Macaca fascicularis: one gene and its partners. The protein of the gene in region 3 interacts with the protein of the main gene of each other region in a pairwise test. Links are inferred from orthologs where the notes say so. Each region holds a gene or a part of one and is shown on either strand. Other genes may lie near its edges.

What was found.
Region 1: the proteins of TSC22D1 (region 3) and APLP1 interact in a two-hybrid assay, tested with the Homo sapiens proteins (2 studies listed by BioGRID and IntAct). The link is inferred for Macaca fascicularis from reciprocal best matches to the Homo sapiens genes TSC22D1 and APLP1.
Region 2: the proteins of TSC22D1 (region 3) and CCDC90B interact in a two-hybrid assay, tested with the Homo sapiens proteins (2 studies listed by BioGRID and IntAct). The link is inferred for Macaca fascicularis from reciprocal best matches to the Homo sapiens genes TSC22D1 and CCDC90B.

Annotation. Positions count from the first base shown.
Region 1 is NC_088393.1:43,098,853-43,102,786, reverse strand, and holds the start of APLP1 (amyloid beta precursor like protein 1), read right to left. Parts: upstream 2,801-3,934; 5' UTR 2,740-2,800; coding exon 2,593-2,739; intron 1,708-2,592; coding exon 1,564-1,707; intron 557-1,563; coding exon 424-556; intron 217-423; coding exon 104-216; intron 1-103. UniProt on the Homo sapiens protein: May play a role in postsynaptic function. The C-terminal gamma-secretase processed fragment, ALID1, activates transcription activation through APBB1 (Fe65) binding. Couples to JIP signal transduction through C-terminal binding.
Region 2 is NC_088388.1:82,266,453-82,270,434, forward strand, and holds the start of CCDC90B (coiled-coil domain-containing protein 90B, mitochondrial), read right to left. Parts: upstream 2,801-3,982; 5' UTR 2,693-2,800; intron 2,527-2,692; 5' UTR 2,436-2,526; coding exon 2,336-2,435; intron 1-2,335.
Region 3 is NC_088391.1:23,687,825-23,690,966, reverse strand, and holds the end of TSC22D1 (TSC22 domain family protein 1), read left to right. Parts: intron 1-71; coding exon 72-123; intron 124-1,288; coding exon 1,289-1,546; 3' UTR 1,547-2,642; downstream 2,643-3,142. UniProt on the Homo sapiens protein: Transcriptional repressor. Acts on the C-type natriuretic peptide (CNP) promoter. Acts to promote CASP3-mediated apoptosis.

The DNA of each region.
Region 1 (3,934 bases), on a different chromosome or scaffold from region 3:
AGAGGATACTGGTGGCCCAGACCCTCGGTTCTGGTGGAGGAGGGTGTTGGGGTCCTGGTTCCTGGGTTCTGGGGGCTGGGGACGGGTGGGCCAAGGTCCTGACCTCCTGTGCCTCCTGATGCCTCCGGGTTGAACTCTCGCATTGGTCCATGCGCTCCTGGTGCAAGAACCGGCAGCCTTCAGGCACCAGCAGGGCCTCACTCACAAATTCACCAGCTGGGGAAGCACGGGACACCAGGGTGAGACCCTCCTACAGCACCAACCCCACCCTCCTCAGAATCCAGATATTTTATCCTCAGAGGCTTCTCTGACCCACTTAGGACACAAGCACCCACCCCCTTAATGTGGGCCCGAGAGAGGGGCTCAGAATTTTGCCCCTCGGAAACTCCCACCTCAGTTCCCCTCTCCCCGCCTGGGACTCACGCAGGCAGCGGAAGGGCACAACCTGGTGGTGGGGGTGGGTGCAGCTGCCGCTCCGGGCACCCCCGCACCAGCGCTCCATGGGGATGGCCTGGGTAGCCTGCTCTACACGTGCGATCTGCAGCTCCGGGTACATCTGGGGGGGTTAAATGGGGGCAATCAGCCCACAGCCCCGCCTCTGCCAGCCACCCCTTTCCAGTAGTCAGGTCCCCTTTCTTCCCTCCCTCCCTCCCTCCTTTCTCTCTCTCTCTCTCTGTCTTTCTCTCTTTCTCTCTTTCGGAGATTTGCTCTTGTCGCCCAGGCTGGAGTGCAATGGTACAATCTCGGCTCACTGCAACTTCCTCCTCCCAGGTTCAAGCTATTCTCCTGTCTCAGCCTCCCGAGTAGTTGGGATTACAGGCACGCACCACCATGCCCGGCTAATTTTTGTATTTTTAGTAAAGACAGGGTTTCGCCATGTTGGCCAGGCTGGTCTCGAACTTCTGACCTCAGGTGATCCGTCCGCCTCCGCCTCCCCAAGTGCTGCGATGACAGGCGTGAGCCACTGCGCCCGGCCAGGTCCGTTTTCAAGGCTATCTTTTTTCCTGTGCTGTTTCTTTCTGAAGGTCCCTCTAAGCCCACCTCTCTGGTCACCCCTCCCCGCAGTCAGATTCGTCTCCCCAAAGGTCTCACCCTCCTTTTAGCCCTGCCTTTTCCTCTATTTCGCCTCTCCAAAGCTCTCCCTTCCCATTACAGACTTGTCTTTTCGTGGCCACGCCCCCCAGCTCTCCGCGCTTTCATTGGGCTCCACCCCTTTCCCCATCTCGCTGGTCCTTAAGGTCTCTTTCTGTCTTAGCCCCGCCTATCCTTTCGCCACTCCCCACTACACCTCTGCTTTTTACAAAGACCACCAGATTCCTAAATTCCACTTCTTCTCTGGCTATCTCGCGGTTCTCCCCCTTTCCTGACTTAGTATTTCAAAACAGGTCCCCTGCCCTAGCATAGTTGCACCTCTTTATTGGCCACGTCTGCTAGCTTCCACGTCTTAGATCCCGCGGCACCTTGGACCACGCCTTTTTCAAGTGTAGCTTTCTACGGGCGGCCCCGCCTCGTTTGGGGCCCGCTTTCCCGCTGGCCCCGCCCCTCCCGCTCGGCCCCGCCCACCTGTCTGCAGTACTCCAGCACGCGCTGCGGGTCCCGGAGACAGCGTCGAGAGCGCTGTGGGTCTGGTTCCCAGCGGCCGGTGCGCAGGTCCCGGTGAAGGGTTAGGCGCCCGCATAGTCCAGCCACCTGGGCCGACCCCTGGGCCTGGATGGAAGTGGAGGGGATAATGAGGGCCCGGGGGGCGTTGGCATGAGGGTCCCCTGGTTCTTTGCTCCCTAGGACCGAGACCCCCAGCACCAGCCCCCTCCCCCAAGCACCGTTGTGCACACCGCCTCCATGGAGGCACCGTTCCCTGGGAAACAGCTCCCGTAGGGCGGGGGCGCCCTAGCTCTCCCGTTGCTATGGCGACCCGGGTCCCCCGGGATTCTTTCTGCCTTGTTGCCGCGGAGACAGACTCCGCCCCGACCCCAGCTCAGCCGCTCTGGAGCCCGAAGGGGTTAAACCTGAATCGCGGAGGAGGCCTGAACCCAGGCGTTCTGGCCCCTCCTCCCTCCATCCCTTGCTCAGGCTCCGGTTGCAGGGTGCAAAGCTGATAAGGCCTGGCTTCAGGGGCCTACAGTCCTGGACACCAGGTCCTTGAGGACTGGAGAGCTACATCTGGTTGGGGTGGGTGGTGACTGAAGGACCGGACTCCTGGGTCCTAGGAGGCTGCAAGGGCCTCCATATGGGTCCAGAGAATACAAGGGGTCTGGATTATTGGATCTAAGTGCCTCGCTGCTTGGTGGGTCCTATGTCCAGGAGGGAGGGGGTTGGGACCTAGTCACCTGGGTCTGGAGAGGGGGCTGGACTTCTGGGACCAGGGGCTCTGAATAGACCAGTTCCTATGCTCGGGGTGGGAGGGGGCTGGGACGTCGGAGGATGGGGGAGCTGGGGCCTGGAACCCTGGGTTCATAAATGCGGTTGGGGGCGCCTGGGGGCTGACCACCTGGCTGGAAAGACCGCGCTTTCTGTCCTGTACATGTCCGCGCTGGCGTCCAAAGACCCGGTCCCGCCCCTTCCCCCATCCCCCAGGACCCGGCCCGGCCTCACCTCGGCCGCGCCGGGGCTCCCACCGGCCAGGCTCCCGATGGCGGGCTGCGCGCGCAGAAGCAGCAGCAATAGTGGCAGCAGCAGCGGCAGCGGCGGCTGGCCCGGGCGGCGACTTAGACCGCGAGCAGCGGGGCTGGCTGGCCCCATGTCCCGGCCCTTGAGCCCTCACGTCCCCTGCACTCCCGCCCGGCCCGGCCCCAGCGGTGACAGGAGCTCCCAGCGCCACCGCCGCCACCTCCTCCTCCCGCCGCCCCCGGGCTGCGCCGGCGCCGCCAGCCACGCCCCGCGCCGGCCCCGCCTTCCTGGCTAGGACAATAGCGTGGCGGCTCCGCGCAGAGTGGAGCAGCTCGGGAACCCCGGGCGGGAGCCTGCGCCAGGCCCCCGCCCCTGGAGATTCCAGGCGTCCCGCCCCATGAAGGGCCCAGCCAGGAGTCCTGCTATGGGCTCAGCCCGTTGTGGATTTTGAGTCCTCCCGCAGGACTCTCACCCTCTTTAGACCCAGACACTCACAGTTTTGTCCTTCTCCAAGGATGCAAGCATCAGAGACCCCCGTCCCCTAGTAAATTCCTCTATTGAGGGCTCAGGAATACAGGCCTCCAAAATGTCCCGTCAAGATGGCAGCAGTTGAGACCCAGTCCCCTCCTCTTTCAGATCCAGAAGTCTGGGCACCTTCTCTCTCAGGACCAGAGACCAAGCCCCCAGCCCATTCTCCCTCAGAACCAGTTCAGTCTTCCTGCTCTGCTTCCCAAGGGTCCCAGGGGCCTGGATCTTTAACTCCTAGCTCAAGGATCCATGAACCAAAGCCCCCGGGACCTTTCTTTAAGGATCACCCAAGCAGGCACCAGCACCATGCCCACTGTGGATGCAGCGCCCCAGGATTAGGGTCTGGATCTCCACCCTTGCTGTAAGGACCAGGGGATTGCCATTTTCATGCCCATAGTCTCCTTCTCTGTCCCACTTCAGGGCTCACTCGTTTGTCTCCTCTAATGAGAGTGTAGAACTCTGTCTTTCCCAGGACCCCTGGGGCAGCCCTGTCACATGTGTGCAACTGTGTGGACATCTATGCGTGTGTCTGTGCATACATGCCAATGTGTGTGTCTTTTCTGTTTGCAACTCGTGTGTGTGTGTGTGTGTGTGTGCGTGTGTGTATGAAGATGTATATTAAAAGAGTCCATGACTGGGCACAGTGGCTCACGCCTGTAATACCAGCACTTTGGGAGGCCTAGGTAGGCGTATCACTTGAGGTCAGGAGTTTGAGACCAGCCTGGCCAACAGGATGAAATCCTGTCTCTACAAACAAATACAAAAATTAGCTGGGTGTGGTGGTGTGCACCTGTAGTCC
Region 2 (3,982 bases), on a different chromosome or scaffold from region 3:
AAGCAACTGGAAAAACCATTGGATATTCATAGTAGGGTTTCATAATCACTATTCCAACTGGTCATGAGCAGTTCAATGCATAAGCGCTCATTAAGAATGTCTTTACAGGCCAGGTGCAGTGGCTCATGCCTGTAATCCTAGCAGTTGGGAGGCCAAGGCAGGCGGATCGCTTGAGCCCAGGAGTTCGCGATCAGCCTGGGCAACATGGCAAGATCCTGTCCCTACAAAAATTACAAAAACTAGCTGGGCACGGTGGCATGTGCCTGTAGTCCCAGCTACTTGAGAGGCTGAAGTGGGAGGATCACCTGAGCCTGGGAGGCAGAGGCTGCAGTGAGCCGAGATGGCACCAAGGCACACGAGACTGAGTGACAGAGACCCTGTCTCAAAATAAATAAATAAATAAATAAATAAATAAATAAGTCTTCGCAGCCATATTAATAGGTAGGGGAAATGAAGTGCCCAGAATCAGTGTTTCTAGCTCATAGTGGAACAACAGATCCTTAATAGCCTGAAAAGTTTTGTACAGGCTTAAACATCTGTACAAAACTCCAAACCTTTCCTTTCATTGTTACTACTTTTGATTCTTTGATAGCTATATCTTGCGGATTTGTTTGTTTGTAATAGTGAGATACAAACTCAAGGGTTTAAAGGTTTAACCAGTTTGGCAAAACTACTAAGTCATAGATTGCGGACTGGAACTCTGGCCTATCTTGCACCAAGCTCCTCTTTGCTGGAAAAGGTCAAATTTTACTTTTGAAACAAACAAACAAACAAATATGTAAAATGTTGTCCCAATAAATTTAAGTTGCAAGTTTTATATGAATTTACTGCTAATTTTACAGCTGAAACACTTCAGTGTATAGTCAGTTACTTTTCTGTCAGGAACTCAATAGAACAGGCATTACAGCATATGTTCTTACATGCTGGTCTACTAACGTGCTAGACTAGTTGCATCATGATAACTAAGGTCCTTCCACTGGTCAGAGGTCAAGGTTTTCAAATCCCCTGATTATTAACATTATTAGGCAAGTTTAAACTACTTGTACACAATAAACATTCAATATTTGTTTAGTGAGGAAGGACACAAATCCTACTAGTTGTAAGAAGAGATTTAAAGTTTCTCCAAGCACACTCAGATTCAAGTGGGAAAACTTTTACGTTAAAACATTAACATTTACTTATGGTCATGTATTTCGCATTATGATATGCACTTCAAAGTTCATTCTCTAAAAACATTTAATTTTGTTTTCATTTGGATATGTGAAGCACACCTGTAAAAGTCAACAAAGATGAAAGTTGGAAGATTTCCTGGAATTCAAAAGTGCTACCTCCTTTTTGTAAAATCCATCATAATGTGTATTTATGCTAAACACCCAAATAACTAACAAAAGAGACCTTGTGAATGATCCTGGCAGCTAAAGAGCAATCTTACAGACGGATGATCAACAACTGCAGTTTTGACTGCAGCTGTTACTGGTGTGGATTAAAATTAAACAATGAGCAAAACAGCACAAGTAACAATATGGAGCATAAATAACAGCGTGGAAGTGTTTGGGTACCGACTGGCTCAGGGTACCTGGCACTGAAGATTCAAGAAGGTGAACAGAGAATGCTAAGGTTGATAAGAGGTGCCTATTCGCCTATTTTGTGGACAACCTTAAAACGGTTTAAAAACTAGGAGGGAAGTTTAAAAACGGGGGGTAAAAAACGACAACAAGAAAAACCTAGCCCTAGAAACGTTTCTCGGAATAAAGTTAGATGTCTTCAGGACACCCTGTTAACAGGGGTGCCAACCGGTTGGAAACTTGTAGGTTCCAGTATTCACTTTTTTCCCCAAAGTCTACAATGTGACTGAAAAGTACTGAGAATTCCAGCGAGAATAAGGCAGACGTGATCTGAAATTTATGATGCTGTCTACCAAAAACTTGGGCTCGAGGCCAGCACCTAAAAAAACAAAATCTAAAGATCAGGCCACAAAAGAAATCAGGACACCCTCAAGCACAGATTACCTTACGCTGCCTCCAGACAAACCTACCAGATTACTAGCCTCTTGTCACCAAAAAAGGGAAACAAGGGCTGAGAAAGAAGCCGGGCGCGAAGCCCTGGCCTTCGAAGGTTCGCTTTAAGAACAGAAAGGCACTGATTTCCTCAGTCCTCGCCCCTTGGGGCGAGCTGGGCAAGTCGGGGCAGCAGGCAGCTGTGTCGCCAGCACAAGGCGTGAATCGGGGAGGAGGGCGTGGCACCTTCTCTTCCCGTTCGCTCGAGCAGGCGCGACCCACGGGCATCGTCTCCCTAGAGAGCACTCAGACATCTATGACACGACGCCTTGCCTCACCTCTCCGCAGGGCCGGCGAGAAATGCCCGCGGGGGCTTGAAACCCAACGATCCCCTCTGCCTTGGGAGAGCAAGAGCCGCCAAGCCTGGCGACTATTCATGGCCTCAGAGTTTTCCGGCGGACGGGAGGCGGAAGACGGGGTAAATCTCGCACAGGCTTTCGGGCAAGGTAGTTCTGGCACCGCAGGAATGCTGGGAATTGTAGTTTTCGCTCTGTCACAAGACCACCTTCCAGCGCGGGCGCCACAGTGGTGCCACGAAACTGGGCCTCTTCGCAGGCCGACCCACAGTTCACGAGCAATGCTCAGCGCTGTCCCGCTACTCCCACCGCCCCTTCCCGACCTGTGAACGCCTTTACCGTCTTAGGAAGGCGGGATCTTGTCGGAGAACCTTCTGGCGCCTGTTTCCTGGCAGCGGCGCATAGTCCAACAGCTGGCTCCCCCAAGATTGCCAGCGGCCATTAAGCGCTTGGGTCGGGGGAGATGGAGTCGTATTTAGCCGCACAGCAGTCTGGGACCTGAAGTTCTCGGCCGCTGAGCATTCTGGGTGATTGCGTAGTGCGGAGGCCAAAGAAACCTTCTGGGAAGTGTAGTCCAGCAAGTCGCTCACTGACCGTGCAGCGTCACATCCTGCTGCTTCGCCGTCTGGTGCACGGGAGGACCAACTAATTTTAGTCGGTATATTCTTTCTTTAGGGAAGATGAATTCCTCCGTTTCTGCGAGAAATTCCTTAATTTTTCACCATTTATCCTTCCCAGACCTCACTCAAGACTTTGCAGCGCATAGTAAAATGCTGAAAGCATCAATGCACAGTAGTTGTATTAAAATGCACCAATACTCATGAGTATTCTCGGTAAATCCTAAAATGGCACACAGTTGTGCGGTTGCAGTGGCTTATTCTCGCAAGATTCTAAACAATTACGGCTAGGTTTCTATCTATATGTATTCAAAGCTTTGTGAGAGCTACGTAACGAACACCATTTCTAAGGCCCGAAGCACACTGAAAGAAGAACAAAACTTAATTTCCGCCCACAAGTGCTTTAACAGACAATTCATGAAGAGGAAATATAAATCGCTATTTAAAACATTAGGATGGCCAGGAGTGGTGGCTCACACCTGTAATCCCAGCACTTTTGAGAGGCCGAGGCGGGCGGATCACCTGAGGTCGGGAGTTTGAGACCAACCTGACCAACATGAAGAGACCCTGTCTATATTAAAAATACAGAATTAGCCAGGCGTGGTGGCACATACCTGTAATCCCAGCTACTCGGGAGGCTGAGGCAGGAGAATCGCTTGAACTCTGGAGGCGGAGGTTGCAGTGAGTCGAGATCACACCATTGCACTCCAGCCTGGGCGACAGAGCGAGATTCCATCTAAAAAAAAAAAAAAGGGAAAAAAGTTTAATCTCACCAGTTTCAAAAAACAAAAAGCAAAACCCTAGAGTATGTCGAGGTTTGGGGTCCCAACGATCCCAACAGGATGTAAGCATAGTACTCAACAGGTGGTTCTTCAGCCCACACCCCTCTGTGCCTCTCCCCCTTTCCTCATCTAATGATATTCAGTGTCTCTTGTTTTCATGTTTACCATCATATAGTCAATGTTTAGCTCCTAAGTGAGAACATGTGTGTTTGGTTTTCTGTTCTTGGTAT
Region 3 (3,142 bases):
TGCAAGATCCTTTTTATCTTGGACGCTTAAGATACCATTTATCGATGACCTTTTTCCCTCCTCTTTTTCAGCTCCTCTGGTGCAAGTGTGGTAGCTATTGACAACAAAATCGAGCAAGCTATGGTATGTACTGATGAAAAATCATTTATAGTAAATGTGGGCACAGCACAAAAATAAGATGTTTCGTGGAACCAGTGCATCCCTAAGTTCAGATGATGTCGATTGCTCTTGATGCGCATAGAAATGCCGGCGCTGTCTCCATTCGGCCAGCGTGGAGCCACCTAACACGGCAGCCGTGGAGGGAGAAAGGGGCCCTGTGGGTAGTAAATAGTCTCCTTCCCGGGACTGGTTTCACACAAGGGGATTTTCTCACGGTGACCCTTTTTGCTGGGGATTTATTAGGGAAGCAAGCGCTGGCCCAGTGTCTCCTTCGGCTGGTCGTGAGCACATCTTTAGCGATGTGGCTTTACTAGGAATCCTAACATTTTACTAGGGAGCCGGGAGGTGGGGAGGGCCCCAGAAGTCGGGATCCTGGGTAAGGGCCTTCTAGACGGTGCACAAACGGGTCCCCGGTGGCGCGGGCTTCTGCACAATGAAGAAGAATCGGAGAAAAGTTTTGTTTTCTTAGCCTGCGCCTGGATTTCTCCTATTTTTTATTTCCGCCTTGGCCGTTCTTTGTTATTGGAGCAGCGCCTGTGGCTCTTCTCACGGGATTCTCTGCCCACTGTTGCTAGGCAAACTCTGAACCTTTAATTCGGAGCTATAAATAACTCGGGCTCCCATTGGCTGCGACGTCTACCCAGGTTTCTGTGATGTCAGCTTAATCACGAAAAGCGGGGGGGGGGGGGGGGGTGGAGGGAAGAAAATGCGGCAACATGTTCGGTAGGAACTGGCTGCAGCCGGTGCTGAAGGAGGCGGCTCCGGGCGAGCGTGGGGCGGGGCCTGGGGGCGGGGACGCGGTGGGCGCGCTGTGGCCTGAACATCCCCGCTGCTGGTCTCAGTCGGGGACCCAGCGCCCGGCTCTGGCCCAGTCTCAGATAGGAAGCCGGACTTGGGCGTTTCTGGCCAACGTCTGTAGAGAAGCACAGACTTTTACAAAGCTTGATCATTTATACGTTAAACTCAAGTATTGTACAGTCATGGCTGTATTCAGATTCCCCAAGTGTCATTGAACGAACTTTAAAGGCGGAATATGTAAATAGCGAGAGCCATATAAAATAATGTCTTAGAAACTCAGAGTCCAGAAAATAGCAAATAGTGAGTTAAACCTTTTCTCTCTTCTTTGCAGGATCTAGTGAAAAGCCATTTGATGTATGCGGTCAGAGAAGAAGTGGAGGTCCTCAAAGAGCAAATCAAAGAACTAATAGAGAAAAATTCCCAGCTGGAGCAGGAGAACAATCTGCTGAAGACACTGGCCAGTCCTGAGCAGCTTGCCCAGTTTCAGGCACAGCTGCAGACTGGCTCCCCACCTGCCACCACCCAGCCACAGGGCACCACACAGCCCCCCGCCCAGCCAGCATCGCAGGGCTCAGGACCAACCGCATAGCTGCCTATGCCCCCGCAGAACTGGCTGCTGCGTGTGAACTGAACAGACGGAGAAGATGTGCTAGGGAGAATCTGCCTCCACAGTCACCCATTTCATTGCTCACTGCGAAAGAGACGTGAGACTGACATATGCCATTCTCTCTTTTCCAGTATTAAACACTCATATGCTTATGGCTTGGAGAAATTTCTTAGTTGGGTGAATTAAAGGTTAATCCGAGAATTAGCATGGATGTACTGGGACCTCATGCAGCTTGGCAGATATCTGAGAAATGGTTTAATTCATGCTCAGGAGCTGTGTGCCTTTCCATCCCTTCCGGCTCCCTACCCCTCACGTCCAAGGGTTCTCTCTCCTGCTTGCGCTTAGTGTCCTACATGGGGTTGTGAAGCGATGGAGCTCCTCACTGGACTCGCCTCTCTCCTCCCCCCAGGAGGAGCTTGAAAGGAGGGTAAAAAGACTAAAGTGAGGGGGAGCAGAGTTCACTGTACAGATTTGACGACTGTCACCAAAATCCATAAAAAACAATAGTACTGTGCCTCTTCTCAAACAGTGGATGACACAAAACTATGAGAGTGACAAAATGGTGACAGGTAGCTGGGACCTAGGCTATCTTACCATGAAGGTTGTTTTGCTTATTGTATATTTGTGTATGTAGTGTAACTATTTTGTACAATAGAGGACTGTAACTACTACTTAGGTTGTACAGATTGAAATTTAGATGTTCCATTGGCCGTCTGAGGAGGTGTGGACTTTTATATATCGATCTACATAAAAACTGCTACATGACAAAAACCACACCTAAAGAAATTTGAAGAATTTGGCACAGTTACTCACTTTGTGTAATCTGAAATCTAGCTGCTGAATACCCTGAAGTAAATCCCTGTTCACTGAAGTCTTTCAATTGAGCTGGTTGAATACTTTGAAAAATGCTCAATTCTAGCTAATGAAATGGATTTCCCAGTAGGGGTTTCTGCATATCACCTGTATAGTAGTTATATGCATATGTTTCTGTGCATGTTCTCTACACAGTTGTAAGGTGTCACTGTATTTAACTGTTGCACTTGTCAACTTTCAATAAAGCATATAAAATGTTGATAAACAAGTGTTTTCATCTGACCCTGTTAATATAATGGCAGTCATTTCCACAACTGTTTCCAGGTAAAGTTTAACAATTTGACTAGTAGAATCCTGAAGGGGAGTAGAATGGTTGGAAAAGTCGGGGCATGATTTGACTACATCAAGTAAAAGGAAATTGACACTGCATTGTTCAGCTGGTAAGGGAAGAGACAGTGGAGGAGTCCAGCTCAATTCTAATTACTGTGTGACTTGGACAGGTTGCTTCACTCCTGGACGGATGTAGGGGTTTGAAAGAGACAATCTCTTACATTCCCCTTTGGCTTTAAAATTCTAGGAGTCCATGAAAATCTTAATCTTCCACTTTTTGTTGAACTGACAGAGGAAGAAGGAGCCTTATTTGTATAATTGCAATAAGCAGATCTAGGATCAAAAGACTGAAATTGGAGAAGCTGATTTCCACTTTAAGAACCCTGTCACCCTGGGTTGGGGTGTTTCTCCTAGTGTAGGATGAGTTTCTAGCTC